Linked DNA regions of Lepisosteus oculatus. The protein of the gene in region 2 interacts with the protein of the main gene of each other region in a pairwise test. Links are inferred from orthologs where the notes say so. Each region holds a gene or a part of one and is shown on either strand. Other genes may lie near its edges. The genes, in order: pelo, lmo3, fblim1 and G patch domain-containing protein 2-like.

Region 1 (7,612 bases), on a different chromosome or scaffold from region 2:
CTCCTCCAGAGATTTCTGGCTCATTTGTAAAAGTTATTGACAGTCCTGATCTGCGTCATCTTTACTGTACTGCACACTGAACACAGGCGTCCTGCTCGTCATACTGCACACTGAACACAGGCGTCCTGCTCGTCGTACTGCACACTGAACAGACCGGCGTCCTGCTCGTCGTACTGCACACTGAACACAGGGGTCCTGCTCGTCGTACTGCACACTGAACACAGGCGTCCTGCTCGTCGTACTGCACACTGAACAGACCGGCGTCCTGCTCGTCGTACTGCACACTGAACACAGGGGTCCTGCTCGTCGTACTGCACACTGAACAGACAGGCATCCTGCTCGTCGTACTTCACACTGAACACAGGCGTCGTACTTCACACTGAACAGACAGGCGTCCTGCTCGTCGTACTTCACACTGAACAGACAGGCGTCCTGCTAGTCGTACTTCACACTGAACACAGGCGTCCTGCTCGTTGTACTGCACACTGAACAGACAGGAGTCCTGCTAGTCGTACTTCACACTGAACACAGGCGTCGTACTTCACACTGAACACAGGCGTCCTGCTAGTCGTACTGCACACTGAACAGACAGGCGTCGTACTTCACACTGAACAGACAGGCGTCGTACTTCACACTGAACAGACCGGCGTCCTGCTCGTCGTACTGCACACTGAACACAGGCGTCCTGCTCGTCGTACTGCACACTGAACAGACAGGCGTCCTGCTAGTCGTACTTCACACTGAACACAGGCGTCGTACTTCACACTGAACAGACAGGTGTCGTACTTCACACTGAACAGACCGGCGTCCTGCTCGTCATACTGCACACTGAACACAGGCGTCCTGCTCGTCGTACTGCACACTGAACAGACCGGCGTCCTGCTCGTCGTACTGCACACTGAACACAGGCGTCCTGCTCGTCGTACTGCACACTGAACAGACAGGCATCCTGCTCGTCGTACTTCACACTGAACACAGGCGTCGTACTTCACACTGAACAGACAGGCGTCCTGCTCGTCGTACTTCACACTGAACAGACAGGCGTCCTGCTAGTCGTACTTCACACTGAACACAGGCGTCCTGCTCGTTGTACTGCACACTGAACAGACAGGCGTCCTGCTAGTCGTACTTCACACTGAACACAGGCGTCGTACTTCACACTGAACACAGGCGTCCTGCTAGTCGTACTGCACACTGAACAGACAGGCGTCGTACTTCACACTGAACAGACAGGTGTCGTACTTCACACTGAACAGACCGGCGTCCTGCTCGTCGTACTGCACACTGAACACAGGGGTCCTGCTCGTCATACTGCACACTGAACACAGGGGTCCTGCTCGTCGTACTGCACACTGAACACAGGCGTCCTGCTCGTCATACTGCACACTGAACACAGGCGTCCTGCTCGTCGTACTGCACACTGAACACAGGCGTCCTGCTCGTCGTACTGCACACTGAACACAGGCGTCCTGCTCGTCGTACTGCACACTGAACACAGGCGTCGTACTTCACACTGAACAGACAGGCGTCCTGCTCGTCGTACTTCACACTGAACAGACAGGCGTCCTGCTAGTCGTACTTCACACTGAACACAGGCGTCGTACTTCACACTGAACACAGGCGTCCTGCTAGTCGTACTGCACACTGAACAGACAGGCGTCGTACTTCACACTGAACAGACAGGCGTCGTACTTCACACTGAACAGACCGGCGTCCTGCTCGTCATACTGCACACTGAACACAGGCGTCGTACTTCACACTGAACACAGGCGTCCTGCTCGTCGTACTGCACACTGAACACAGGCGTCCTGCTCGTCGTACTGCACACTGAACACAGGGGTCCTGCTCGTCGTACTGCACACTGAACACAGGCGTCCTGCTCGTCGTACTGCACACTGAACACAGGCGTCCTGCTCGTCGTACTGCACACTGAACACAGGCGTCCTACTCGTCGTACTGCATACTGAACAGACAGGCGTCCTGCTAGTCGTACTGCACACTGAACACAGGCGTCCTGCTCGTCGTACTGCACACTGAACACAGCTGTCCTGCTCGTCGTACTGCACACTGAACAGACAGGAGTCTTGCTCATTGAAGAAAGAAAGCCAGAAGAAAGCCAGACCTCAGGGAAACAGGTACAAATTCACACTGAACAACAACACATTGGAGCACACATCCAGCTACACATATCTCGGTCTCACCATCAGCTCTTCCGGGAGTTTTGACCTGGCAGTGAAGGCACTGAGGGAGAAGGCACTCAGGGCTTTCTACGCAATAAGAAGGAGGCTCTTCAACATCAACCCACCAACAAGAATCTGGCTCCAAATATTTCAAAGTGTAATCCAACCCATTGCCCTATACGGCAGTGAAGTGTGGGGTCCCTCACAGACCAGGAGTACACTCAATGGGACAAACACCCCACAGAAACTCTGCACATGGAAATCTGTAGAAACATCCTCCGTGTGCAGAGAAAAACTCCTAACAACGGGTGCAGGGCCGAATTAGGCCAGTACCCACTATTGATAAACATACAGAAAAGAATATTAAAGTATTGGCTACACCTAAAAAACAGCGACCAAAATTCCTACCACCACAAAGCCCTTCTGAGCGAAGAGCTGAGCCCAAAACAGAGCCCCCTGAGCCAGCTGGTCCTGAGGCTCACCGACCTGAGCCACACCAACACTAACCAGCCTCAGGACAGCACTGCTAGAGCACCACAGCCCAGACTCAACCACATCACAGCACAGATCAAACAGCAATATCTCACACACTGGGACACACACACACAAACACAACATCAACTGGAATGCTACAGAACCCTAAACAGACAATACACACTAGCTGAATATTTGACCAAAATAAGAAACAACAAACAGAAACAGACCCTGACGAAGTACAGGCTCAGTGACCACAGCCTGGACACACACACAGGACACAGGCAGACCTGGCTGTCCAGAGAGGACAGGCTCAGTGACCACAGCCTGGACACACACACTGGACACAGGCAGACCTGGCTGTCCAGAGAGGACAGGCTCAGTGACCACAGCCTGGCGATAGAAACTGGGCGACACAGGCAGACCTGGCTGTCCAGAGAGGACAGACTCAATGACCACAGCCTGGAAACACACATTGGACACAGGCAGACCTGGCTGTCCAGAGAGGACAGGCTCAGTGACCACAGCCTGGACACACACACTGGACACAGGCAGACCTGGCTGTCCAGAGAGGACAGGCTCAGTGACCACAGCCTGGACACACACACTGGACACAGGCAGACCTGGCTGTCCAGAGAGGACAGGCTCAGTGACCACAGCCTGGCCATAGAAACTGGACACAGGCAGACCTAGCTGTCCAGAGAGGACAGGCTCAGTGACCACAGCCTGGACACACACACTGGACACAGGCCGACCTGGCTGTCCAGAGAGGACAGGTGATCTCCTGTCCCAGCCTGAGGAACAGACAGTGAGCCTGCCTCTCAATAATAATAATACAGTGTGTGATCTCCTGTCCCAGCCTGAGGAGCAGACAGTGAGCCCGTCTCTCAATAATAATAATACAGTGTGTGATCTCCTGTCCCAGCCTGAGGAACAGACAGTGAGCCCGTCTCTCAATAATAATAATACAGTGTGTGATCTGCTGTCCCAGTCTGAGGAACAGACAGTGAGCCTGTCTCTCAATAATATTAATACAGTGTGTGATCTCCTGTCCCAGCCTGGAGGAGCTCTTTTCCACTGGGACCTGTGTGTGTGTGTGTGTGTGTGTGTGTTACAGTAGGAATTATAAACTCATACTCCATTTCAGTATTCTTTCATTTGGATTGATTTCCAGCTCATATATCTGGCTCGATAAGCTGACTGTGGAACTGAAAGCCTCACTGTTCCTTCACATCTCATTGAGGAGTCTGACGGAGTATTATAGAACTTTATTGGGAAGAATAAACCTCATTCTGTTAGAAAACACCTTCTGAGTAAACCTAAACATCAAGGTGGCATGAATGTTATAGACTTTATGTCAAATATAACATTTAAAACTAAGTGGATTAGGAAATATATTAATAACAAATGAAATATTTGGAATCTTATTCCAAACATAACTTTTCAGAATGTTGGGGATCTTGACTTTTTGTTAAAATGTAACTTTGATATTAAAAAAAAAATCCCAATTAAGTGATCTAATTTCCACAAGCTGGTATGATTATAATGGACTTTGTTATACAAACAGTTTTTCACCACACACATATCATATTTGGAAAGATAAAGACATTAAGGGTAAAAATAAAGCTTTTTTTACAGACTCGTTTAACAACACAATGTACAGTATGTCGTGGCTCAGCTGTTGAATGAAGACGGTGGTTGTTTACTCCTGAATTCCTGGACAGACTCCAGCTCGCTGTCGCCCTGAGGAACACGCGGTAGTTTCTAGTGCCATTCCGGAAGGCGCAGAGCGCTTGTTCAAAGCAAATCCCAGCGCGATCAGGACCGACTTCCTTTCTGGTCCGTTCACGGGGGGCGTGGGCATGGAGGATAAGAAATGGAATTATACGTGGAGAACGAATCTTTGTAAAACCCATCTAATCTCTCCTCGTTCATCTTTCTGGAATGCAGTGTGTGAAAATACAAACGAAGTTAGTTTGGACAACTCCTGGTCGATATTGTACTACAGGTCAAGTTAAAGAGATATCAGTTCTATCCAGTGAAATGAGCGCTCTCTGAGTGTGTGTCTGTGCAGGGGGACCTGTGTGTGTCTTGGGCTGACGGCGCTCTCTGAGTGTGTGTCTGTGCGGGGGGACCTGTGTGTGTCTTGGGCTGACGGCGCTCTCTGAGTGTGTGTCTGTGCAGGGGGACCTGTGTGTGTCTCGGGCTGACGGCGCTCTCTGAGTGTGTGTCTGTGCGGGGGGACCTGTGTGTGTCTCGGGCTGACGGCGCTCTCTGAGTGTGTGTCTGTGCGGGGGGACCTGTGTGTGTCTTGGGCTGACGGCGCTCTCTGAGTGTGTGTCTGTGCGGGGGGACCTGTGTGTGTCTTGGGCTGACGGCGCTCTCTGAGTGTGTGTCTGTGCGGGGGGACCTGTGTGTGTCTTGGGCTGACGGCGCTCTCTGAGTGTGTGTCTGTGCGGGGGGACCTGTGTGTGTCTTGGGCTGACGGCGCTCTCTGAGTGTGTGTCTGTGCGGGGGGACCTGTGTGTGTCTTGGGCTGACGGCGCTCTCTGAGTGTGTGTCTGTGCGGGGGGACCTGTGTGTGTCTTGGGCTGACGGCGCTCTCTGAGTGTGTGTCTGTGCGGGGGGACCTGTGTGTGTCTTGGGCTGACGGCGCTCTCTGAGTGTGTGTCTGTGCGGGGGGACCTGTGTGTGTCTTGGGCTGACGGCGCTCTCTGAGTGTGTGTCTGTGCGGGGGGACCTGTGTGTGTCTTGGGCTGACGGCGCTCTCTGAGTGTGTGTCTGTGCGGGGGGACCTGTGTGTGTCTTGGGCTGACGGCGCTCTCTGAGTGTGTGTCTGTGCGGGGGGACCTGTGTGTGTCTCGGGCTGACGGCGCTCTCTGAGTGTGTGTCTGTGCGGGGGGACCTGTGTGTGTCTTGGGCTGACGGCGCTCTCTGAGTGTGTGTCTGTGCGGGGGGACCTGTGTGTGTCTTGGGCTGACGGCGCTCTCTGAGTGTGTGTCTGTGCGGGGGGACCTGTGTGTGTCTTGGGCTGACGGCGCTCTCTGAGTGTGTGTCTGTGCGGGGGGACCTGTGTGTGTCTTGGGCTGACGGCGCTCTCTGAGTGTGTGTCTGTGCGGGGGGACCTGTGTGTGTCTTGGGCTGACGGCGCTCTCTGAGTGTGTGTCTGTGCGGGGGGACCTGTGTGTGTCTTGGGCTGACGGCGCTCTCTGAGTGTGTGTCTGTGCGGGGGGACCTGTGTGTGTCTTGGGCTGACGGCGCTCTCTGAGTGTGTGTCTGTGCAGGGGGACCTGTGTGTGTCTTGTCGGGCTGAATGGGGGGTCCTTGAAGCAGTTATTTATTTGTTAGGTGGAGGTTTGTCAAGTTCTTTTGGACGGACTTGCAGAGTTGTGTTTGCAGGCAGTTAAAGGTGTTTTTTAGATTTAAGTTTTTTTCTATTTTATTGTACTGCTTAATAGAAAATTTGGAAAAAGAGCATGTATTTATAGAATGGTCTAGTAATAATCCCCTTTTTAGTACTTTCGAGGTGGAGCTGAAACACTATTTAAATTCTATTAAAAATGTCAGAAATAATAAAGCACGGAAAACATATGTGTAAAAAAATACAGTTTGATCACATAAATTACTTCATGACCTCTGGCAGTTAAATGTTTTTTTCTGTTTGTTTTTTTTTCTCTCGTACCTGTTTCTGATCCTCTGGTTGTAGTTGTATTTGTAAATTCTTTATAAGTTTAATAATCATTTGTTTTAAAAAGAACCTGAAAACCGCTATCAGCTCCAGCAGCAGCGCTTGCCGGAAGTCGTCATCAAGCTGCGACGCGCTGCGTCTCCGAGCTGCGCCCGCGTCTTTCCGTGATGACGGACTGCACCTCTTCCGAAAGCTGGCGAAATAAATAAATAGACTCAAAGAAATTTAGTTGGATTTTAGAGCAGTTTGAAGATGAAGCTTCTAAGTAAAGACATTGAGAAAGACAATGCGGGGTAAGTCTATCGGGATAGAAACGTCTGGTCTTCGGTATAATTGTCTCGTAGTCATTCATTTAAACTCTGTTGTGTCATAAAACATGAGTGATTTACTCTCACTGTTAATGTACTGGAGTGCAGTGTTAATGTACTGGAGTGTCCAGTCAGTGTGTGTATTAACCCCTCTCTCTCTCAGTGCAGTGTTAATGTACTGGAGTGTCCAGTCAGTGTGTGTATTAACCCCTCTCTCTCTCAGTGCAGTGTTAATGTACTGGAGTGTCCAGTCAGTGTGTCTGTATTAACCCCTCTCTCTCTCTCAGTGCAGTGTTAATGTACTGGAGTGTCCAGTCAGTGTGTGTATTAACCCCTCTCTCTCTCAGTGCAGTGTTAATGTACTGGAGTGTCCAGTCAGTGTGTCTGTATTAACCCCTCTCTCTCTCAGTGCAGTGTTAATGTACTGGAGTGTCCAGTCAGTGTGTGTGTATTAACCCCTCTCTCTCTCAGTGCAGTGTTAATGTACTGGAGTGTCCAGTCAGTGTGTCTGTATGAACCCCCCTCTCTCTCGGTGCAGTGTTAATGTACTGGAGTGTCCAGTCAGTGTGTCTGTATTAACCCCTCTCTCCCTCTCAGTGCAGTGTTAATGTACTGGAGTGTCCAGTCAGTGTGTCTGTATTAACCCCTCTCTCTCTCAGTGCAGTGTTAATGTACTGGAGTGTCCAGTCAGTGTGTGTGTATGAACCCCTCTCTCTCAGTGCAGTGTTAATGTACTGGAGTGTCCAGTCAGTGTGTCTGTATTAACCCCTCTCTCTCAGTGCAGTGTTAATGTACTGGAGTGTCCAGTCAGTGTGTGTGTATTAACCCCCCTCTCTCTCTCAGTGCAGTGTTAATGTACTGGAGTGTCCAGTCAGTGTGTGTGTATTAACCCCCCTCTCTCTCTCTCAGTGCAGTGTTAATGTACTGGAGTGTCCAGTCAGTGTGTCTGTATTAACCCCTCT
Region 2 (7,576 bases):
ACAGGTTGCATATAAGCCCAAGGAACTGTTTGCATTACAGGGCATTCTAGCTCTATCTCTCTAGTGTGAGAAAACAAATGAATAATCAGCAAATTAAAATGTGAATATCCTCTTACTATATTGGGACTTGAACTTTGCTATATGGGTAATTCAAATAAACTGTTTTTAAAAAAGTGTAGAACTCACTATTCTATGCATCTGAAGTTTAAAACAATTACACATATCTGCTGTGAAGATAGATTCTAAATCCTATTCCGTAACTTTTATCTTCATTAACTGCATAAAAATGCAAAAACAAAATCAACATCACTATTGATTTTCTTACCTTTATACTAGTGATATCTAGTCTTCTTTTTCCTACATCATTGATTATTACAATCAAAGCTGTCTTTCGCAACTAAAAATCCTCAATTTTACCTTCCACTGGGAGAAGGCTGAAAAGATTCCGCAGTCACCATCATGTGTATCCACTAACCCAAGAGTGATATGAAAGAGCTATATTGAGGTAACAATGTGGACTCCTGGACAGAGTAATTAGTATGCTCCAGCCATGCTTAGGGAGTATACAACTCCTACACACCATCATTTGTGTTTTGTCTTCTTTTGAATCTGAAGATACATTTTAGTGAGCCGTAGCTCAGTAATGTTAAATGAATTTTTGCAGGACTTCCTAACATAAACAATTCCAACTCTGCAGGCACTCATTCTGTATATAGGAACCTGCACTGTTTGATTGCAAAACGATTGGGGACACTGACTGAAGTAAAAACTTGTTTACTTAGAATTTGACAGAGAAAAAAAAAACCTCCAGATACATTAAAAATAGGTGACTTCGAAAACGTTATTTTTCTCTGTAGCTCTTTGGACTTATTATCCTAGATTGTTTTTCATATATGGTAACCCTGATTATGAAATTACGACAGTGATAAAGCAGAAAACATCTCGAAAGATATACTGAAAACTGTTAAAGATCAAAGCACAGCAAATTCAGTTTTAGCTGGTAATGTGCTCATTTGCAACAGTATTCACAATTCTGCAAATGCCCTGCAAAGTTCTTACATTCCATTGTGGCCATTTTCAACTCCAGGAGGTATGGGGCTATTAACTAGTCTGCACAACAGCTACATTTTAGAGGACTGTGTATGAAATGGCAATCAAGAACCTTAATATAACATTATAGTTAAGTAACAAGAAAACAAAACTAAGAAAAACTGTAAAAGGATTACATTAGATTCAGGTTTGTGTTCTACAGTGTGTTAAGATTAAAATCAAATAACAAAAAATAGCAATACTGTTGTAAACGTGCACTACGCACCAAACTGATATTTAGTAGTTTAAAAGTGACCCAATCCCAAATCCCAAATTAATCATGAGTGCCCAATATTTAAGGAGAGGTGCAAGAATTCAGAATCCAGTGCATCCTGTTTGAAGAATCGTGTACACTTAAAACAGCATGTCTCCAGATCTGGTTTATAAACTAAAGAAAAAAAGGGAATAACTGCATGAAAACATTTTTAGTTCCACCACCATGAACATGTGTTAAGAACCAATAAAGTTTCATAATACTGTGTCTAACTTAATCATTCTGAAAGTTATTGGACATTTGGAACTGAATACATCCAAACACTGAAAGATCCGTCCCAAAATAGCAAATAAGAGATTTATACACTGTACAGTACATCAGTACTACTAAAATTTAATTGTAATATCACAGAGCAGCATTTGTGTATCATACACAATTAGCAGAATGTAACATTTAGTTATTGTTTATTTTACAGTATTGCTGCCACAACAACACAATTATGTAGTGTGATACTAATTTGGTGTTGCACAAACACAACTCTGTTTCTTTAACATGAAAATGAATGTGATTGAGTAAAGTGCGATATTGACAGAAACTGCTAAACCATAGGCTTAACTGCAAATGTACACAACACCAGCAATACAGGCCTTTACTGACCTATAACTGAATCCATTATTCATTTTATACTCGATTACCTCCCATTGTGCCCTTTAAATTACAGATTGCTTCTTTGCTTGCTTATTTGATTAATTTCCTGACTGTTGGACTTCATGTGGAACACATGTGGTGTCTGTATTATATTTGTTTTTACATCATCAAGAACTATAACTTATTATAAATTATTGAGTTAGTATTATGAAAACCGAAAAGGGAAGGATTGCATTCTTAAATTGATGGGTCTTCTTACATGCAGTTTGAGACAGAATTACAGTATCAGCTATGCCTTGAAAACAGCATATGGTCAAAGACAGAAAAAGGCTACGTTTAATCTTTAAATAGTCAACTAACATGACCACAGTGAAAACTCTGGTTCTACTGTCTGTAATGGGATAACAGGCTATTACTGCATGTGGATTTGTTTTAAATATCTCAGTTCTGTAAAATAATGAATCACTCATAACATAAAAGGGGGGAAAACTACAGAATTAGTCAGTTTCCTCTTGTTTGTTAATTATTTTAAGAGCAAGTGGTATATATGAGGAAAAGGGAATATATGACAGGGAACAGTTAACTGTTCAGGCCGGTGAAGGATAAGCACTGCATAAAAAACTGAAACATGTATCTTACCAGGCACAAGGGGCTTATGCTTCACTGTGGAGAGTTCTCATTTGAATATTGTGGATTGTGTTTTATTTTTATCTCTTCGATTAACACATTATTAAAACACACTAGCCAACGTTGTCTGCAACGCTTTTCAAACGGCATGTGTACGGGTCGCTTAATACTTTCTTACTATGGACATTACAAGGACTGTATGGAAAATCATACAGCATATACTGTACCACACATTTATTTCCCAAGTAACCACTAACGGAAAATATGTAACCGACCTAAACAGCGAACTTCATTGACCTATGCTGGAATCCATTATTCGCTTTACGCTCAACACAAGACATAAATATCAACGGTCACAAAGATTTTGACTTTTTAACAGCAATATACAGTACTAACGCATGGAAAGTTGTATGTGTGCGTTAACAGTCTTGGGCTGCATTAATAAATGATAAACTGAATGTTAAAAAAGGAATATTTGTATTAATATCCTGCTTAGCAGAAAAACATTTTTACAGAAGCTGCAATCTTTGTGGAAAAAAATAGAACAGTCCAGAATCATGTTTAAAGACAGTACAACCTTTCCGAGAGGTTATTTCAAAGTCCTGAAAACTCGTTTTAACAGCCTTGGAACAATGCATTTTTTTTAACGTGGCCGTAATTCAGTATTTGATAGAAATCTTATATAGACCCTTTATTTAATAGAAAAAAGCAGCTAGGGCATACATAAAATAGCTTGAAGGGTCATTCTGTTTGCAGTAATGAGCAGACACCCATTTTATTTCATTTCATTTAAACTGGTGAGCTTTTAATTGGCTGGATTGTATTGTAAGAAACACGTACGGTTGATTGCTTCCATTATGCATCCTTGTTCTGTGGCACTCATCCGCGCAGTCTCAGCTTCACTGGTTAACACAACAAAGTAACCGCAACTCATTAACAAACGAAAAGTAGTAAGAGTTTCAACTCTTCTCAGCCTGCAATCAGATTTAGACGCGTTGGGACAGCTTGTATAATGCGCTGAACCACTGCCTTAAAAATCAGAAGCTTTCTTTTTCTAAATTTCGTTCATTATTAAATTAAGAAAACAGGCTGCCAGGAGTCTAGTGATCCAGATGAAAGGAATTTCGCCACTTCGATTTTCCAATTGCCAAGCAACAGTGAACAAAAGATTTAGGAAAATAAAGCTGGATTGGGCCTAAAAGATTTTTTTTCTTTCCCTGTGCGTTCGCCCAGAGCAACCCCGCAGGTTCTCTGTGAACTCCCTTGCCTGTTTTCCGATGTTACTCAAACTCCCTCAGGGTACCTCATACAAATAGATGTCCGAACCCTTATAAATTGAGCTCATACCATTTTACGGAATATATATATAAACTACGTGACGACTGCATGCCATGGAGCTGAGACCCGATTTGATTCTCCTTTTCTCCCCTTTGCAGCTGCAAGACTCGGCGATACTGACATTTTTCCACTCTTATCAGTTTAATTACAGTTGCCATGGTAGCAAAGTGCTAGTGCTTGGCAAAGGCCAATAAGAGATTTGCAACAGCGAACCCAATTTTCGATGCAGCTTGCATGCACAACAAAACAAGACCAAAAAAATCACTTTCTGAGTTAATGTGCTTAGTCTTTGGTGCTAAACGTCCTCTTTATCTACAGCATTCAGCGGGAACATTTTGAAGCTATCCATTAAACCTGCCAGAATAATTGGCACCAGCCAACGTTCTTGAAAGCAATTAAAGCCTCCGAGAACAATATTGAAGATAAACGGAAAAAACACCCCTCATCCCAAAGCTATGGAATACTTCAGATCACGGGTCTGCTCACACCATCGATTCCTACACAACACACGTTCCTAAAATAAAACAAGACAAGGTGAACACTCAGAAAGCTAAAGAAAAAGAATAAGTCACAGCACAGCGAAAAATCCTTACCGAAACTTTTCTCCCTTTTCTGCATTTGACTTCAGCACCCCAACCACCATGCAACTCGAGAGACAAAAAAAACGCTTCGTTTCTTTGGATGAACTGAGCAGCTGTATGCTTGCACGCTGAGGGTGGCTTGCTATTGTTCAAAGTGAGACCCTCGCTCCAGACAAAAAATAAAATAAACAGGAAAATAAGGAAAGACCTGCTATCCACTATCGCCTGCTAAACGTAGCCAACGTTTGTCACATCAATACTCGATTATGAAAAGGAAGTCTTGCAGCCGCTGCTATACGAGTGGTAGTGAGCAAATGACAGCGGATGACAAAAGCACATGCTTACCCCTTTAACGGCGCCGTAATCTTATAATCCCCTCATGCTTTACTTGCGAATGTTAGCCAGTTTCAGTGCCTTGTATAATGAATTTAATCAAATACCACGGAATGGCTTCAATCAACAGCCTTAGCACATAATATCAACAAAACACATTGTAGTTTTAAACCGACGTTTCCTTGTCTGTTGCAGGTGGAAAGTTAACGCCTGATGCACACCGGCGAAAGTATCTTTAGCGCCGTTAACCCAACTGGACACAGACAAGTGCACTGCGTAGAACTGAGATATGCGATATATGTTTTTGTTTAGCGCAGTTTTAAAGCCTAAAACAATTATACCTTAAACAAAACGTCTTTTCATCCTGCAAATCTCTTTCCCTTTATCCGGGTATTTACTTGGAACATATCCTAAATATCAGTGTGTACGTGAACTGTCTCTCATTCATATCCACTTCAGTATACCCTATCCACAGTGGGTAACGCGGATTGTAAACATCGTGTAAATTAAAACACGGAGATAAAAGCCGTAACGAATTGCATAAAGAACATCATCAACAATTGTCCTCGTTAAATGATGCTGCTGACAGTAACGGTGGGATATGGGGACATTTTATACATTATAAAACAAGCTATTATTTTTAAAACATGATTTTAAGTGGCATGAGTCATATCTAAAATGTTCGTATTCAAAGCGTTTTCCGAGAGGGTTTGAAACCAATGTTTAAACTGTTTAAAAACTTTCGATTGTTAGTTAACAGCTCCTTACTGTTCTTTACCTCTTACCTTATTCTTGAATTATTCTACACATAGAGCAAAGTTTCAGCATATTCTAGTTTCCATCTACAATCGTGATGTTTTCATCTACATCACGGCATTTACAGTATGTTTCTGCTTAGAAAAGGCACTTCAAATGAGTAACGCAAACCCTGGTACAGTAAATGCGTGGTTGCAAATCCAACAAGTGTTCCTTTCTATAAAGAAAATAATCTATTTATACACAAAACTTCACTAAATCCACAAATAAGGTTTTAAAATGCACAGCGCTAACACAACATCATTGGTGAAGGCACGCGTTTAAAGTGTTTTTGTTAAAAAAGTGAATGGGTGCCTTTTTTCCACCTTAACCCAATGAATTAAGTTAAATATCATTTCTGTATTAAGCATGCATAACTTCCACAGGCACCCTATATTTAAAAAAGAGGGTCTCAAAATGTTCTAACATACTTGTACTGAACTACGGTACACGTCAATCCATTTTGTGCAGCTGCACTTTACTCACCTTCTTCGCCAAGTAATGCAAAAGGACTCAGTTAAAAACAGGCACAGTAGCGCAGTTTCAACCTTTCTCCCTTCAGAGCTAAAGTTCATAAAGCAAGCATTGCCCGAGACGTATCTGAGATCTTTAAGTTTAAAATAATGAGGTCCGCATGGATCCGCAAGCAGTTAATTGCAGTGTTAGGCAACAGAGCTACAGGTGTTCTCTTTACATCCGCCGCTGAGCTCCCGTGTAGTATACTGAGGGGCTCAGAACAACTTACCCATCAGTGACTGAGGGATGGAGCACAGAGAACCCTAGCTTTATCACCTACGAGTCCAATCCCTCACCAGCGAGACATAACACAGCAAGAAAAGGTCATTCAGTTATTGCTGCAAGACCGAGGAACCAGAGCGCGCACACACAGCCACACACGTGCCAACACGTATCAAATACACTAAGCCAGCGATGTACAGTTCTCTGCTAGCACCGCAGTGAAGCAGCAATTTCTCACGTCGTGGAGACATTACCGTGTGCTTACAGATAATCCGAAAACAAGACAGAACGCTTAGAAAGGAAGCAATAGTGGGGAAGAAGACATACTGCTGCGCAAACTGGTCAAACAATAGCAAGTAATACGGAGCAAACCGCCTTTCTAGGGATGCAGTTTTCAGAGGCAGCATCTTTACAAGGAACTGACGCCGATAGTTTCCCCTACCACATGGCCTTCTCCTTTGGAGCATTGAGTTATTATGAGTAAGTTAAATAGAAAAACTTTTCTACTTTTTCCCCTCTTTATTCCATTTATAAAAAAAAATGGGATTGTAACCGTAGAGGGCAATAAAGATACGCATTAGCTCCTAACATTAGCATTGCATGTTTGTATGTCATTAAATATTTTTATTTTTTTAATCACGCTGCAGTTTTCCTATAAGCGACCTCTATGTTCAGTCCTGCATTCTGTATATACTGTACAAAATCATTAAAAAAATAGTTTGGGAGGAAAATTAAAGCCTTTTTACGTAAATGCCATCCATTAAATTCACATACCAATATCTCCATTACCTGTAAAACGTTTGAAGGACTATCTTAATTTCCCCTTCTCGAAACACTCAAAAAAACACGGGCGGAACATACAGACTCCATACAGAAGGGGCCTAGTCTGGAAGGAAGCCCAGGTGCCTGAAGTAGCGAGAGAGGAACTGCGAAAACCGGGAAGCCATCGTGTCGCTTTGGTTTAGGTATGAAGTTAACAAATAACCTCCTACTTGTAAAACTTGGACGCATGCAAACTCTAAATCTACATAGAACTATAAAGTCCACAGAGGGACCTGTGTTATTCGCGACATATCTTTTTACTTTGTTAGGCAGTTGTTTTTCATGCAAAGCTGGGGTAAGGGCTTTGACATTTGGCAATTAAAATCGGAATTGTAGAAATCATTTTAAATGGTCATAAAATACCTTAAGTAGAACGCTGAATAAAGCTAAT
Region 3 (7,888 bases), on a different chromosome or scaffold from region 2:
ACTCAGTGTTTACAGTCCAGCTGTGTCTCCTGTTCAGTTCTCAGTGTTTACAGTGCAGCTGTGTCTCCTGTCCAACACTCAGTGTTTACTGTGCAGCTGTGTCTCCTGTTCAGCTCTCAGTGTTTACAGTCCAGCTGTGTCTCCTGTCCAGCTCTCAGTGTTTACAGTCCAGCCAGTTGAGGGTCTACACTACAATGGTTATACACCATACTAATATCTGCAGTCCAGATGTGTACAGATTGTGACTGACAGATGTATCACAGCTGCTGTGACCTTGGGCTGCTGACTGCAGCTGGCAGACACTGGCCAGGCACCAAGCCAGATGCCAGCTCACCCCTGGAACACACTTACCATAGACACAGATCCACACTGGGAGGAGAGGTCTGAGCAGCACTGTAGTTCTGTGAACAGTTCATGAATCATTGAAGTCATTTTGCAAAAAAGATTAAAATTGTCCCACACTAACTAGCCCTCCTTGTACTTTCTTGTGTTGGGAGCAACAAGTTTGTAGCCCTATCTGAACAGGAAACTACTGACCACAGCATTATTGATAGCTGATCAACATTATTTACACATAGATCAAGTAGGGAGATCCGTCAGCATGCACAGGCTACAAAGGAACGGGTAACGGGTTTTATTCCCTGCTGAAAAGAAAAGAAAGGAAACACAATGTTTCGGCTGTAGAGCCTTCTTCAGGTGTGATCGGTTATTGAGAAGGTGGAGAGGTGCTGCCGACACAGCATGTTTCCTGAGTAGCTTCATTCATGGGAGACAAGGGAGTCTAGTAATCATAGCATAGCCAGAGTTCAGAAACAATGATAGAATACTTTATTTATTCAGACACAGAGACCAGTAACCCAGACACACAGATAACAGACACAGAGACAAAGGGATACAGAGACACAGGGATATGGGGATAGAGACCCAGAGACACAGGGATATGGGGATACAGGGATACGGAGACACAGAGGCAAAGGGATACAGAGACACAGAGACACAGGGATATGCGGATACAGGGATACGGAGACACAGAAACACTGGGATACAGAGACACAGAGACAAAGGGATACAGAGACACAGGGCTATGGGGATACAGGGATACGGGGACACAGAAACACTGGGATACAGAGACACAGAGACAAAGGGATACAGAGACAGCAGTTCTCCCTGCAAGACAGGGAATCCAGCACTAACCTGTACCCCAGGGGTCTACAGTAATGAGCCCCTCAGTTTGCTCCAGATGACAGAGAAGTGTCTTGGCTGCACTGTGCAGTGAAGCTCCAGGCTATCAGGGCCGTCAGGGGGAGCCTGCAGATGAGCCTGGCTCTCGCTGTGCGTCTGTGCTGGGCAGACTGGGGTCCCGCGCAGTGTCTGTGCTCCCGGTCCTGGCAGGGTGTCGGCACGGCGGGTCTCTGTCCCAGGACCTGGAGAGCAGCTCCGTCAGGCCACTCCCTTTCCTCCAGCCCTCCCTCCCCCTCTGCGGCTCCGGCTCCGGCCGGAAAAGGTGAACAGTTCTTGAGTCAGAGCCTGAGCTCCACGAAACTGACGCACAGCCTCACCCCCACTGCTTCCCTCCCTCTTTCTCTTTCTCTTTCTGTCTCCTCCTCCTGCGGGGGAGCAGGATGTGAGTAGATACCTGCCCACGGACAGCCCCCGCCCCCCTTCTCCCAGACTCTCCTCTCCCTGCCTCCCAGCTGGAGCTGCTGCTGGCCCCAGACCTGAACAGGACACCCCAGGGTGCAGCAGGTATACGCCAATCAACAGCGTACCAGGTGTTCAGAGTGTCTATATGGTACACAGCCTGTGAACACCTGGCGTTCAGTGTACAGTTCATAAACACACCTGGTGCTTAGTCTGCAAATGTATTAAGTATATGGAGACCTGGTGTTCAGTGTGTTTATGCAGTATATCCACATCTGGTGTTCAGTGTGTGCAGCGCGTACACCCAGCTGTTCGGCGAATCTGTGACACGCAGACGAGGCTGGGAGTGTGTGCAGCGTGCACAAGGCCTAAACGTCACGGATTAACAGCACACGATGACTCTGGCACAGGGACTGAGAAGAGGTGTTCATAAAGAAAGAGGGAGGGGAGTGTGGAGCCGGGAAAACAGGAGCAGGAGCAGGGAGACGCCTGGGACAGAGCGGGAGAGGGGGAGGGGTGTGGAGGCAGGAGTCAGGCTCTGAGGAATGTTCAGGGCTGCTGGGGCTTGTCCGTGATGACATCACCCAGACCCCTGCCAGCCCCTCCTCCTGCCCACAGGGTCGAGAGGTCAGCCCCGCCCACCCCGCTGTCCTGCTGTCAGTCATGCCCTGGGGGCCCCATGCCCCCCCCCCAGACTTCCGCTGCCTGGAACTCCCACCCGGCTGAGCTGGAGCCACACTCCCAGGCAGCTTCTCTCCGGCACAGAGAAACCTCTAGTTTCACTTCTACATTTGGGACTTTCAGAGTTTTGTTCGGACCTCCAACTGCTCCACTGAACCAGCCGCCCCAGCAGGACAGCGCCTGACCCGGCCCAGAGCAGAGGGGAACACTGAGACTTTCCGAGTCCTTTCTGGACACTGAGTGAAACTCACACACTCTCTCGCACACACACAGCTGGGAAAGTGTGTAAACAGCAAGGCTCTAGGAGGGCAGCAGACAGCTCTGGGCTCCTGTCTGAAACCAGGTGAATCGCTGGGCTGGTGAGCTCTCTCCTCGCACTGGACTCACTTCAGGTCCCACTGGTGCGTTTACATCTTTGCCGGGCTGCGCAGACAAACTGCACCAACTCAGCAGAGCTGCGCAGATTCGGCAAACTTCGCAGACCTCCTGCTCCTGGGGTCACAGTGACACCCCCTCTGTCCCAGGCTGCAAGCTGTCAGTATATCACACTGTGGTCCATCAGCATGAGCCAGGCCTGCGAGTCCGCAGGGTCTGACGAGCGCCTGGTCAGTGAGAGTGCTCACACCTCTCTCAGAACAACCGTGTGAGAGTGCAGGACCTGAGCACCATCCCCATCAGCCCCACTACTTCCAAACCAAATATTCGCTAGAGGCAGGGACAATGTCTCTAGAGACAGCAGCAGTGACAGTGTCTCTAGAGGCAGGGACAGTGTCTCTAGAGACAGCAGCAGTGATGGTGTCTCTAGAGGCAGGGACAGTGTCTTTAGAGACAGCAGCAGTAATTATTCATTTTAACTGCCACATGCAACAAAGGAATTTATCTCCACCTTTGAAAAACAACAGAAGTGACTCCCTACAGATACAATCAGCAAAGAACAGGGCAGGGGTGATAAGGGCTCAGAGGGCAGAGCTCTTGCAAAAGAGTCTGTGCAAACACACATACACACATACACACACATACACACACGCACACACACGCACGCACACACACGCACACACACGCTCACATTTGTATTTCTGTATCTGTGGGCAGCTTCCCTCTAACTTTCATTCTCATATTATTTATTACACCAAACTCCATGCAGGGTGAAAACAGTCCTGGAACAGTGGGAACACTGTGAGAACAGACAGTCAGTGGGGAGTTAGGGGACAGTAAGACGCACACAGACAGACACCGAGGAAGAGAGGGAGACGAAGAGAGAGCCAATCTGACTCTGACCGACTTACAGACAGATGCCAGACTGACACACCAACAAAAGCAACAGCACCCTGATCATTGTCCAAATAATATGTACACAATTTAAACTGAAATAATTTGAGGAGGATTGATCTGAAGTGTAAAATACTGGATGTGCTGGCTTGTGAGCAGCGGTCTCAAGGTCCAGAGAAAATGTCGATCTGGACCTCTGGTGGCAGCTCTTGCTACTGCACTGTAAAAAACCAGCACACTGCCTGTATGCCGTTCAGCCAGCAGGGGGCAGTCTTCGTTCCTTTACTCCATCTCCAGTTATCTCAATGTATGACTTTCTCTATCTTTTTCCCTCCCTCTCCTCTCCCTTCTCTCCCTGCTGCAACAGTGCTTTCTGCTGGCGTGAAGGTGTATAAAGTTTAAGTACATGAATTAAACAAGATAGAAAAGTCTCCGCCTAAAGGCTCAAGTCTCTTGGTCCCAGCGGGTGTGCTCAATGTTGGTAGACTGGGAGCCAGCAGGGCTCAGCTCAGGCAGTCTCCTCAGGGCCGCTACAGGTCCTTATCTTTTCTGCTGGCCTGGGCGACCTCAGGACAGCCTCTCAAGCAGACGCCCTCCTTCCTGGGCCCTGGGGAGCCCCTGGTGGGGCCGAGCTCAGCCTCCTGCAGACAGAAACAGGGGGTGAACCTCCCGCCGCCATACCGCTGGTGACGATGCGCCCTTGCGCCGCGCCAGGCCGGAGCCTGCGGTCCTGCCCGGGGGGAGTGTGAGCCGGGAGGCCGGGGAGGGGGAGCTCAGGGAACAGGGGTGCGGGGGGGCGGACCTGTGTCTGGTGGGCTGTCAGCAGGTCCCAGGCCCGCAGCAGGCAGCACCCCTCCCCCAGGAAGCACACCAGGATGTGCAGCACGTCGCCCCAGCGACCGACCGTCAGCATCAGGACCAGCAGCCCCCCGAGTCGCACCACCACGGTCTGGAACACAGCCTGGCCACCAGGGCGGTGCTGCTGCTCCTCTGAGGGGGAGGGGAGAGACGGTCAGTAAAAGACCCAGAAGCGCACACCCCCCCCCCGGCCGCCCCCCCCCTCACCTTGCATGTAGATGACCAGCAAGGTGTAGCAGATCGTCAGGGGAGTCCAGAACCTCAGGGCGTCGGCCGCGGACAGGAAGTCGCGGTTGATCAGGGACAAGGCGGCAACGGCCGCCACCAGGAAGGCCAGGGCGAGGGCGCGGCGCAGCAGGCCCGGGATGGCGTGGGACCAGGTCAGAAGCGCGACGCACACCCCGCAGTACCGCTGGGAGCTGTGCAGCTTGTACATCGTGCCCACGTGCCCCCACAGCGACCTCGTGTGCCAGCACAGCAGCCCTGCCAGCCCTGCGCTCAGCGCCAGGCTCAGGGTGCTCTGCGGCGCCCCCTCCTGGAGGAAGCTGAGGCTGCAGGTCAGCGCACAGCCCAGGGAGAACTGGCACTGCACCAGTAGCTGGCTGCTGTGGAGGGCCTCCTGCAGGCAGAGAGGTGGCACTGCAATGAGTCTTACAGTTCTGCTCTTTATTAGACTGAATTCAATCAGCTGCTTTGCATACAGCAGAGCGTCAAGCATTGTGCCAGTGTTTGGTGTCACTGTTTAGCTCGTCAGTGTTCAGAGTGCCTGTGTTCAGCAGGCCAGAGTTCAGTGTCAGCGTTCAGTGTCAGTCTCACCGGTCAGTCTCAGCGGACCAGTGTTCAGTGTCAGTCTCAGAGGACCAGTGTTCAGTGTGTGTGGCTCACCGGCACTGCCATCAGTCTTGCAGAAACGGCCCGCAGTGAGAACTCCAGCACCACCAGCGCAGCGACCCTGGAACCCACCACTCCCAGCACCGCCGTCAAAACCCACAGCTGGACCGCCTCCATAAACCCGCCTCTCCTGTGCAACTGCACCCGGTCTCCACTGGCCCGGCCCGGGTCACTGCAAAAGCACAGAGACTCCCAGTGAAGAGCAGTCTGATCCAGTCCAGGTTTTACCAGCTGCAGGGCTCTGGCAACAGCAGCAGGTTACTGCAGGACTGAGTGATCCTGCAGACACACTGTCACCCTGCACACAGAGCAGAGAGCTACTGCAGTGAACTACAGACACACTGTCACCCTGCACACAGAGCAGAGAGCTACTGCAGTGAACTACAGACACTGTCACCCTGCACACAGAGCAGAGAGCTACTGCAGTGAACTACAGACACACTGTCACCCTGCACACAGAGCAGAGAGCTACTGCAGTGAACTACAGACACACTGTCACCCTGCACACAGAGCAGAGAGCTACTGCAGTGAACTACAGACACACTGTCACCCTGCACACAGAGCAGAGTCACTGCAGTGAACTACAGACACACTGTCACTCTGCACACAGAGCAGAGAGCTACTGCAGTGAACTACAGACACACTGTCACTCTGCACACAGAGCAGAGTTACTGCAGTGAACTACAGACACACTGTCACCCTGCACAAAGAGCAGAGTCACTGCAGTGAACTACAGACACACTGTCACTCTGCACACAGAGCAGAGTCACTGCAGTGAACTAGACACACTGTCACTCTGCACACAGAGCAGAGTTACTGCAGTGAACTACTGACACACTGTCACCCTGCACACAGAGCAGAGAGCTACTGCAGTGAACTACAGACACACTGTCACCCTGCACACAGAGCAGAGAGCAACTGCAGTGAACTACAGACACACTGTCACCCTGCACACAGAGCAGAGAGCTACTGCAGTGAACTACAGACACACTGTCACCCTGCACACAGAGCAGAGCTACTGCAGTGAACTACAGACACACTGTCACCCCGCACACAGAGCAGAGTTACTGCAGTGAACTAGACACACAGTCACCCTGCACACAGAGCAGAGTCACTGCAGTGAACTACAGACACACTGTCACCCCGCACACAGAGCAGAGAGCTACTGCAGTGAACTACAGACACACTGTCACCCCGCACACAGAGCAGAGCTACTGCAGTGAACTACAGACACACTGTCACCCCGCACACAGCAGTGTCACTGCAGTGAACTACAGACACACTGTCACCCCGCACACAGAGCAGAGCTACTGCAGTGAACTACAGACACACTGTCACCCCGCACACAGCAGTGTCACTGCAGTGAACTACAGACACACTGTCACCCTGCACACAGAGAAGAGCTACTGCAGTGAACTACAGACACACTGTCACCCCGCACACAGCAGTGTCACTGCAGTGCTACTTGAATAACTCTCAGTGTTTACAGTACTGCTGATTCTCCGGTCCAGCTCTCAGTACACTGGAGCACCACACCCTGGACAGTCTCACACTCTGGTCAAGCCGATGACGATGTGGCCCTTCAGACGCGATGACCCTTCCAGGGGTCACTGCAGGCGCGTCCAGCTCTGGACAGGCGACTCACCTGAAGCCTTTGATGAACGCGTGCACGCGCAGCAGGTTACACAGCACCGAGATCCCGCACGCGCCCACCAGCCCTGTCGGGAAACAGACACGCCGGTGGGTCGCGGGCCAGGCGGAAGTGAGCGGCGGCCGGACCCCGGGGGGGCGGGCTCTTACCCTGCAGCAGCGAGTCTAGCGTGGCGGTGCCGGGCGACAGCCACGACACGCCGGGGAGAGCGGGCAGCCAGGACCGCAGGACGGACAGCATTCCTGCCGCGACACACGGCGCCGGGCGGAGAGAAATGGCAGCCGGCGTGCGCGCCGGGGTTTCAAAGGTCACCGCCCGCCCGCGAGCGACAGAGAGCCTCGTTTCGGGCGAGAAACTAATCAATCAGATCGATGGAGCCGCCGGCGAACGCACGGACGACGTATAGTGAAACCAAAAAAATCACTGCTTGTGAAATACAATGAATGCAATTCCCACAGCAAACGGTATAAAAACAGTATCACAAGAATAAATTGTATCTTTAGCGTCGCCTGATAAAAAGTTTATACCGAAACAGGATCAACAGCGCCGCCTTGTGGGTGATAGTGTGTACAGCCGCTGTCCGAATCTGCTCTGATTTTAATCAGTCGACTCCACATCTCTGAGATAGGCCCGTGAGGCTGCCCCCCCTGCAGACAGCACAAACGATGAAACCCACCTTATTCGTCAGTGCTGCGGTCGTGCCGGTTGATGTCGTTGAAAGTAGCGTTTGTGCTGCTTCCGTCCCCGAGATACAGCGCCTTGTTATCCCGGTGATCACGTGACCACGCACGGCGACTTTGACCTCCAGTGACCCCGTCTGCCGAGTTCAAGCGTCTGTTACAGTTTAGCTCGTACCCTTAACATTTTATAACACTCCAGTGAGATCTCTGCTCTCCT
Region 4 (8,367 bases), on a different chromosome or scaffold from region 2:
AGACACCCAGGCTGAATGGGAGGATATCTTTGTGGGTTTTCTGGTGGTTATTTTGCTCTGGAAAGCTCCCCAGAGGGAAAACCCTACTAGTTCTAGGCAGATGCACGTCAGTGCACACCACTGGCATCTGAACATTTCACAAAAGAAACGAGGAAGCTAGATGTAAAAAAAAAAGTGCTGGGTGCAAGGACAAGTGTATTTCTACACCACGTCTACATGGAACATATGGGAACTACCCTGCACTGGCTAGGAAGTATGTCAGGAACAGATGGGCAGCTAAAGCATTCAGGGAATAGAGCGGAAATTGTTAATTATCTAGGATGTACGAAAATTGAGTTTGAATTCAGACTTGTCAATATAACTTATTTTATGGAACATTTTGACACATATATTATACACATTAAATGAAAAAATATCCATTATATGAACTTACAAGAAAAGTCATTAGGTTTAACTGGAACCTAAACAAACTGCTCCAAAGTTATACTCTACTATATCATATTCTCCGAAACAGAAAACCTGTGTGAAACAATATATAATTCTTTTGATTGTTCCACTATTCTAACATTGGTACCGCTATGTATCATGATTAGCCCTGTTTTAAATTGTGCATATTATATATTAAAGGAAAACCTGAGAAATTATCTCTCAACATGGTTTCAAAAAGCTCCCTATGTTATTGCCTGCCCAACTGTCATAATCTGTGTTCCTTTTATATCATACTGTGCAAGAAATCAATTCCTTGTGAATGCACAATGCAGTTCATTTCCAGAGTGTACAGTTACAAATTAATTGACAGAGGAATGAATGTATTTCATATACTGATGATGCATGGCATGTCACTGTTGGGCCACATATTTGAGGCAGGCATGCACCACTACGCTGTCTGTTGATTAAGTGTGACAGACTGAAGAGAGAAAAACGCAAGTATCAGAATCTGCTTTGGGGCTCCAGAGTATGTACGTAGTCAGAAAAAGATAACAGCTTGTTGATAGTTTGTAGAGAAAAATCAGATTTATGACCTAGTCCTTATTCAACTACTGGTCTCGTTACCCTACACTCAACTACGTTTTAGGTGTGAGATTCGTTTTCACCGACATTATGGCTGGGCTGAACCACAGAGGGTCCTGAAGGGAACATTACCATTCGGACATGTTTTCATCAGAGGCTTCCTTCTGCTCCTCAGACTCAAACATCATCTTCTCCTTCCAGCCTTCCTGGTGGACGAGCCCACTGCTGCCCACCGGCTCGGAGCCCCCAGCCCAGGGGCAGGCACTCTTCTTCACCTTCGAGAGGCGCTGCTTTTTGGCCAGCTTGTGGCTGCCCGCCCTCTCGCTGTCCAGCTCGGACACCTTGAGCTTCTCCTGGAGGCTGACCGTCACGTCCGAGGTCATGCGCTTGACCTTGCGCCGCCTCCTCAGGGGTCGCCCTGGCGTGTTCTCGGTGAAGGAGTCCGACTCGGGCCAGGAGTGCTGCTTGCTCTTCAGGGAGGAGGAGAAGGAGGGCCGCCTCTTGGCCACGATCATGTCGTCGGAGTCGCTGAAGTTGGCGGCGTTGGCGTTGGCGCTGGCGCTCTCGCGGCAGTCCTTGGCGGCCTCGTCCAGGCTGGACTCGGAGGCCTCGCTGAAGCAGCGCGCGTGCTCCAGGGAGTGGGAGGAGTCGCAGCGCCGCTTCCGGCCACGCCGCCGGCGGATCTGCCGCCTCTGCTGCAGGGGGCTCAGCACCATCTCCTCCCACAGCTCCTCCAGCTTGGTCTGCTCCGAGGTCTGCTCCAGCGCAGACGCCAGGTCGTGCACCAGCTCGTCCATCACAGCGCGGCCACCCCCTCTGGCAACGGAAACAACACAGCGCGGATCACGAAAAGACGGAAAGAGGAGAGCGGGGGTCTCTAGTATCAAGAGTGACTTACATCACACATGCTGCAGTCTAATCTAGGTTTGCTCTGAAACTGCATCACCAAAGAAACGCCAAGAGACCACCTTAATTAAATTCAATCAGGCAGGTAGCAATAGGTTACGCTGGGTAATTATGCAAAATGGGAAACTAGGAGAGTTTCTGTAATATTTCTACAGAGAGAGTGAATTGATATTATATCTGTGCTCTGGACACCTGGGTACTATGCATTTACAGCCTGTACATCTTAAAATCCAATTCTACAATCTATCCACTTTTCATGTATGCTTAGAAACGCCTTGTGTTCGCTTCTAAACAGCACAACGCAATTCACAGCAATCATTTGGTGTAATATGCTGTAAGGTGAAAGGAAAGATCCGTATGCTTCTTTGTGAATTTGGGCCCAAACCCAAATCAAATCACTTGTGTGCAAAACTGTTTGCAATGACTTATACCGCTCCATACTGTACTGAGTCAATACTGATTAAGTGAGTCATTTAACACCCTTCTGAATGCAGCTTGCAAGCGTTTAATTTCACTTGTTGGATTCCTCGCAGTCAGGGCAGTGTTCACTGCAAAGCGCAAAACCTGCAGTTTTAACAGTGCTGCTGGCTCCGACTTCACTGACGTCATCGCGCATCCTCGAAAATACCTTCAGTGTTTACAAGAGTCAAACCGAGGACAATGCGGAGTCCGCTGCCAATTTCGACAAATATGTCAGATGGTCGGTGGCAAAACGCGGAGGTTCTTCATGTACAAGCACACGTGCCTTTCATGCACTCAATTCTGCTCCATTTTTACGTCGCAAAGGGTAGCAAAATTTGAGTATTAAAGAATTGAGCATTCTGATAAAACAGGCACGCTTGGAAAACGGGGCTTCAACGTTGCAGGTCTGTCTAAGTAAAAGCACAACATATTGAGATTCGTCTCCTCCGTTTTATTAATTGTTCTTTTTGGTCATATCAGGTTTTTTTTGTTCAGGTTTCTGGTTGCCTATTTAACATGCCTATTAGTCCAGACCTTAGCAGGCATGTATACTACCTTTCGTTACAAACATAGTGTCAGAGCTTCGACAGGATAAGTCGCATATTACAAACCACTTATTAACGCTTAAAGCTATATGTGCCGTTTCGGAAATCAGCATTAAATCTTTCTTCCTCGGTATGGTACTGTTGTTATACAAAACTCACCAGCCGCAGTTCCTGCCTGTTTTGTTTTCGCAGCTAAATACCTCGAACGTACTTCCGCCCCGCAGGAGAAGCTAGCTACGTATTTCCGCCCCGAATAAGGCAGGCAGTTTCGCCCTGCAGAAATCCGATATCTAACCAACTTTTCTTCAAACGCAGCGTGATGAAAGAGCACTGAAATCGGATCATGTTTTATGTATTTTAAAAAATACGCTTAGATTGATGACTGACTGCATTTACACATAATAACCTAAAGCAAAAAAAGTCTTGTCTTTTCGTGTCTCGTCACGAAACTTAAAACTACAGCAGAGCGAGGTCTAGGTAAAAACTTGAGGTTTACCTGAACATTTTAGTAAGCTCTCATTAAGCAAAATCGGTTATCACCGCTCTTCGCCGGAGCTCATTCATATATAGAATTAATCAACGCATATTTATGGTGGTTAGGTTATGTATTGTTCTAATCTTAAACACCGATTTCTAACGCTGTATTTAATGATAAAGCTATTACATTCATTAAAGATTTCATTTCGGATTTGGGAATTAAAAAGCACAAAGTTATCCATTGTGCATTGTAGAGCCAATATTTATTTTCATTTCCTTTGAAATATACAGCTATTGGGTAAGTAGGAAGAATATGATTAGAAAGTGAACATTATTATTAAAAATTTACGGTTCCTCTTATACGGACCTCATTAACAGAAGTGACAGTTCCTGGACCAAAACAATGTTGGTGATTCTGAAAAATACGCAGTCCTTCTCAGCTTTCCACACCAAGCGATATCATCCTGATTGGCTCAAATTCGGACTAGGTACAAAAAAGAATAACCCATTTTTTCCTGACTGTTAATAATACTTCAGACTCAGAGTTGCTCCGGGATTCCTCTTCCAGACCTACAGGAGATGCCGACATAGTAATGCAGTGAGACATGTCGCGCTCTTTTATTTGCTGAATTATGTTGGCATTTTGATACAGTTTATTTTCCGCTGCGGGAACAGAACAGAAACAGTGACAAAAATGTATATTTAAAAAAAACAATTTAACACTCAGGCACGGACGATACGGTTACTGCTCCTGACTGGCAATCAAGTGAGTATCAAATGAATAAAAACATGTGACCATGTCGTTGCCAATGCTGACATTACTTCGAAGACGCCTGCAATCGGTGGTCTGGGATTGTCCCCTAGCATTTATCAGCCCGCTAGTTAATACCGTTGGGTCTTTCTAAAGAGGCAATTTCTCTTCTTGTCTCTGGAACAATCTAAGTTCACAGGCTGCTGCTCACCTGTTGTCTGTTGAAACAATGTCCTAGTTCTAAAATCCTAAACTTCGAAACAACTCGCCATCGTGAAGTCCACACCCGCAAACACAAATTGAACTATGTGAGTGTACGCATAGCAGTCAGCGCGCCACCAATATACAGAATTTATATTGAAACATATAAATGAAACTTTGCCATGAACCAGCTTCTAGCAGAATTGAGAAAAAGTCATTTATAACTCCTTTCATCTTAGAGATGAAGCCGCACAATAAAAGGCCAGCGAAATGAGCACAAAGGCTTTTAATCTCTCTCATCTTCCTCTTAATAACTGCAAATTTCCCCCTTGGCCCCTGGGAAAGGGGCTCTCTCTGCTGCCACCACCTTATCTTTTCCCTCCATATTTCACGGCGCTCTGTGGCTCCCTCAGAATGCTGCCCCTGGCCTACTCCTGCCAAGGCCTGTGGGAGCGGGCTGCTCCCAGGCCCTCATTGTTCAAGGCATGGGAGGGAGTCCAGAGAGGGAATTGAAAGCAGCAGAGAGAAAAAAGGCAGCACTGCTTCATTAAGCGCTGGCCTTTCAGAAGCAAACATATCAGAAACAGCCCTTTTCAGAGGCAATAATTAGCAATTTGGAGCCTTTTCCCCCCAGGATATACAGTTTCAATTTGCTGGCAGGATAGCTTTAGATTCCAAAGCACTTAATATTCATTGTTTCTCCCATCTCCCCCAGTTCTTGATTTGCATTGTCCGGTCTTTCACTGACGATAAAGTGTTTTATCTTTCGTGTAATTCTTCCTTTCAATGAGTCCTCAGCAAGAGAAGTTAATTTTTATAAATACTTTTCCGAGGGATTTGTTAAGGATGCACAGGACACGATAGCAAAGTGCTCTTCAAGTAGTTCTTAAGTTGGAAGTCTAATATCAAAGACGTCACGTGGGCTCTCGTTTCCTGCATTTGCAATAAGTTTCTGGAACCAGTGAGAATGGGATTTTGAAGTCAGGCATGTAAATCCTTAATCAGGAGCCCCATAGTAACCAGAACGTTCAAATATAAAGTCTGGTCCTGAAGGATATTGAAGTTAAGAGGTTCAAGTTTGCAAAATCAAGAGATACTTTCTATTCCTGCAAAAAGAATAAGAATGGAGAATTTAGTATGAAATGCAGCATGATTTTGACAATAACAGGGAAATGTAAAAAATGCTCTGTAAGGTTATTTCCAGTGCACATGTAACTGAGGAGGATGTTTCCAGTATATACAGTACTGTGTGTTGTAAAATGCTGTAAAGGGGAAATAACACTGCAAGATCTGATATGAAAGGGTAGAACACCTGTAAAAATAACTAAAGCCAGCAGCATGTCACATTAATAGGACATTAAGCAAAATGAGAAATTGCAATGGAAGCAATGTTACTAGTCATTGGATCTAAACCACCCTCTATGACAGTGCCAGGCAATTAGTTCATGTTCCTAATTATGAAGAAAGATTAATTAGAAAATCTCTAGGAATTAGAAAATTGGAGTCCACGTTTTTAAATTTTGATGGAGGTTATTTTCCGTCAGACATCTGGGCCTTAGTAATTGAGAAGTGTAAATAATCCCTTCAAAGGGGAACAATGCATCAACATCTGTCTAATCCTCCGTTAATGACAGTTATCAAGACTTCTCTTGCAAAATTTTCACCTCCAGCTACATTAATTAGCATAATGCAAGCCAGCTAGGATGCAGACATGTTGGTGTGTCAGAGGCCAATACGATCCTTCAGTGATAAAAGCCACTTGTATAATTCTGATTCCTCCTCCTTTAATGAGTACACTTCTGATGTGAAAGAAGAGCTGTCCAACTTTCGGCACTTTAGAGATAACTACTGTAGGATCTCTTTGGCCAAAGCTTTGCATTAAAATCAAGAGGATTTCCTCCTGGCTTTTACTTACAATTGGAAAGGGCAATGACATTCTCCGTAATGTAAGTAAATCCGAGTCTTACAGACACGAGAAGCGTCGTTCAAGTGTAACTGGGTGATTTCTGTGAAAGCAAGTCACGCTATTGCTTGGCAGGGCAGAACAAACAGATTTTCATAAATGAAAAGACAAACATACAGATGAAAAAAAAGTGTTTACCAGTTAGATTTCATCAATGCAATATCTGTTTGAGTTGTCCTAATTTTATAAAAGCATTCCTGCTTACCAGAAAGCAAACTGCTTAAAGGCATAAAGTAGGAATTAAAGAAGAAAGGAATATCTTAAGGAAAGTTAAAAATGGCAATATCACCCAAACCACACGTTGGCTCTTATCTTACAAAATAGAAAATAACAAACCTCCTTTATCTTAACCAACCAACCTGCCATTGTATCAGAATACAGTACCTGCAGTTCATTTGCAATCCAACGTTTTGTCTTACAACGCAAATAATTGATTTTCAATTCTTGCAGGCTCATGAAAAAAAAAATGCCATTACACATTATGCTTTGAGAACCAAAATATAAAGATTTTCATCGAAAAGGAAAAATAAGAGTCTCATTAAAAATAACATTAACATTAAGACGAAGAAGAGAAAATAATTAATGAAGTCCAAGAGCTATCTTTCCTAGGCAGAGAGTCACAGGGGATGCAAACTCACAGACACCAGAAATGAGCTACCTATCTGCAGAACGAGAATGACTTTCCATCCTATTTGATTTGGCTCTGCTATCATCTTTTAAGAAGATGTCAGTTCTGCTCCTTCTATTGCTCCCTGCCTTTATCAACCCTCTGACACACAAAAAAGGCACATTTCAATGCCAGTGCATTGCTAAAGAATAAGTGTTCTGTGATAAAGAAAAGGTTGTTAAATAGATCTGTCTATTTGTATGGTAATAATGATCGCTAAAGACTTGGTTACAGAATCCAACAGAAACCTGCGATTGTGCATTGTTTAACGTGACTCCTTGAATGACCTTGCATAACTTTTATACAGTAATAAATGTGCCAGGCTTGTTGCTGGTTTAATAAGCTAGTCTTTTTTTTTTCCATCTGGTGATTTTCAGTTGCATCTTGAAAGCTCGTCTGTAGCAATAGGGGGAAATCTGACAACCCTGGCACAAGTACTGCAAGATATCTGAAGTTCTTAAGATATACAGCAATCCCACTTCATGGAATAAAGAAGTTATAATAATAGCTGTAAATAATAATAATAATGTTTTCTAACTCACACTTTTACCAAAATAGATTTACAGAGTCCAGGGGGTGAGATATCTATCAACAGCTATTGCTGCAGAGACATTCAATGCGAGTTCTAGGTTTTACATCCTGTCTAAAGGATGGAGCTGAAATAGGTTAAATAAGTTGCTCAAGACTTATTTAACACAAAGTGAGTCAGTAGTTCAGCACAAACCTACTAGTAATACACCTTTTACGTTAACCACTGTTCCACTCAGCCTGCTTATCACGACACTGTACGCTTGGATATAATTTCAGAATAAAATTTAAAAAATAAGAATTTCATAGAACTATTAACCGTAAACTGAGCTTCTCTATAATGCTAATAAAGGATCTATAGATACACAGTAGTGTTCATACTAACCTTAAAGCTTTTTCTCACCTTACCTCACCGGTAAAGAATAGCTTTATTAAACTCAGTGGACTGGAAATCAATGCTTTATACCTTATATATTAACCCTTCATTTTGAGTTTGAAACCCCCAACATGGGCTTAAAAAAGGGATGCAATCTGTAGCCTTCAAGGACAGGGGAAGGCTGACAGGGGCTACTGAGCATCCCTAGTTTTCCATACTCTTACAATAAAATCATTTTCTTTTCATTTGGATTGAATACTACTAACAAATAAAATAAGAAAGCAGAACAATAGGTTGTCTGGCGATTGTTTGCAGTATTTGTTCATCCTTTGGTCTATGGCTGTAGCTGTTTCCCCAGCGCTAGGAATAGCTGTGGATAGAGGAGTCTGCGAAGACAGGGGAAATAACAAACATAAAATATAAACTCCGTTTTCTCATTAGGATTCAGTAAGGGTTGTTTACTGGCTCCCAGCCGACAGA

The links.
Region 1: the proteins of lmo3 (region 2) and pelo interact in binary tests that used the Homo sapiens proteins (3 or more experiments, as listed by UniProt). The link is inferred for Lepisosteus oculatus from reciprocal best matches to the Homo sapiens genes LMO3 and PELO.
Region 3: the proteins of lmo3 (region 2) and fblim1 interact in binary tests that used the Homo sapiens proteins (3 or more experiments, as listed by UniProt). The two-hybrid records come from large-scale screens. The link is inferred for Lepisosteus oculatus from reciprocal best matches to the Homo sapiens genes LMO3 and FBLIM1.
Region 4: the proteins of lmo3 (region 2) and G patch domain-containing protein 2-like interact in binary tests that used the Homo sapiens proteins (3 or more experiments, as listed by UniProt). The link is inferred for Lepisosteus oculatus from reciprocal best matches to the Homo sapiens genes LMO3 and GPATCH2L.

The regions. Positions count from the first base shown.
Region 1 is NC_090699.1:1,371,521-1,379,132, forward strand, and holds the start of pelo (protein pelota homolog), read left to right. Parts: upstream 1-4,478; 5' UTR 4,479-4,662; intron 4,663-6,409; 5' UTR 6,410-6,594; coding exon 6,595-6,635; intron 6,636-7,612. UniProt on the Homo sapiens protein: Component of the Pelota-HBS1L complex, a complex that recognizes stalled ribosomes and triggers the No-Go Decay (NGD) pathway.
Region 2 is NC_090702.1:24,869,230-24,876,805, forward strand, and holds the start of lmo3 (LIM domain only protein 3), read right to left. Parts: upstream 3,522-7,576; 5' UTR 3,513-3,521; coding exon 3,419-3,512; intron 440-3,418; exon of another isoform or gene 418-439; intron 389-417; exon of another isoform or gene 326-388; intron 1-325.
Region 3 is NC_090720.1:298,060-305,947, forward strand, and holds the start of fblim1 (filamin-binding LIM protein 1), read right to left. Parts: upstream 3,326-7,888; 5' UTR 1,195-3,325; intron 1-1,194. Other genes in the region: tmem82 (transmembrane protein 82), read right to left, coding at 4,122-4,232, 4,394-4,581, 4,657-5,068, 5,335-5,512, 6,986-7,058, 7,141-7,231. UniProt on the Homo sapiens protein: Serves as an anchoring site for cell-ECM adhesion proteins and filamin-containing actin filaments. Is implicated in cell shape modulation (spreading) and motility.
Region 4 is NC_090703.1:8,763,499-8,771,865, reverse strand, and holds the start of G patch domain-containing protein 2-like, read right to left. Parts: upstream 3,142-8,367; 5' UTR 3,084-3,141; intron 1,828-3,083; 5' UTR 1,809-1,827; coding exon 1,144-1,808; intron 1-1,143.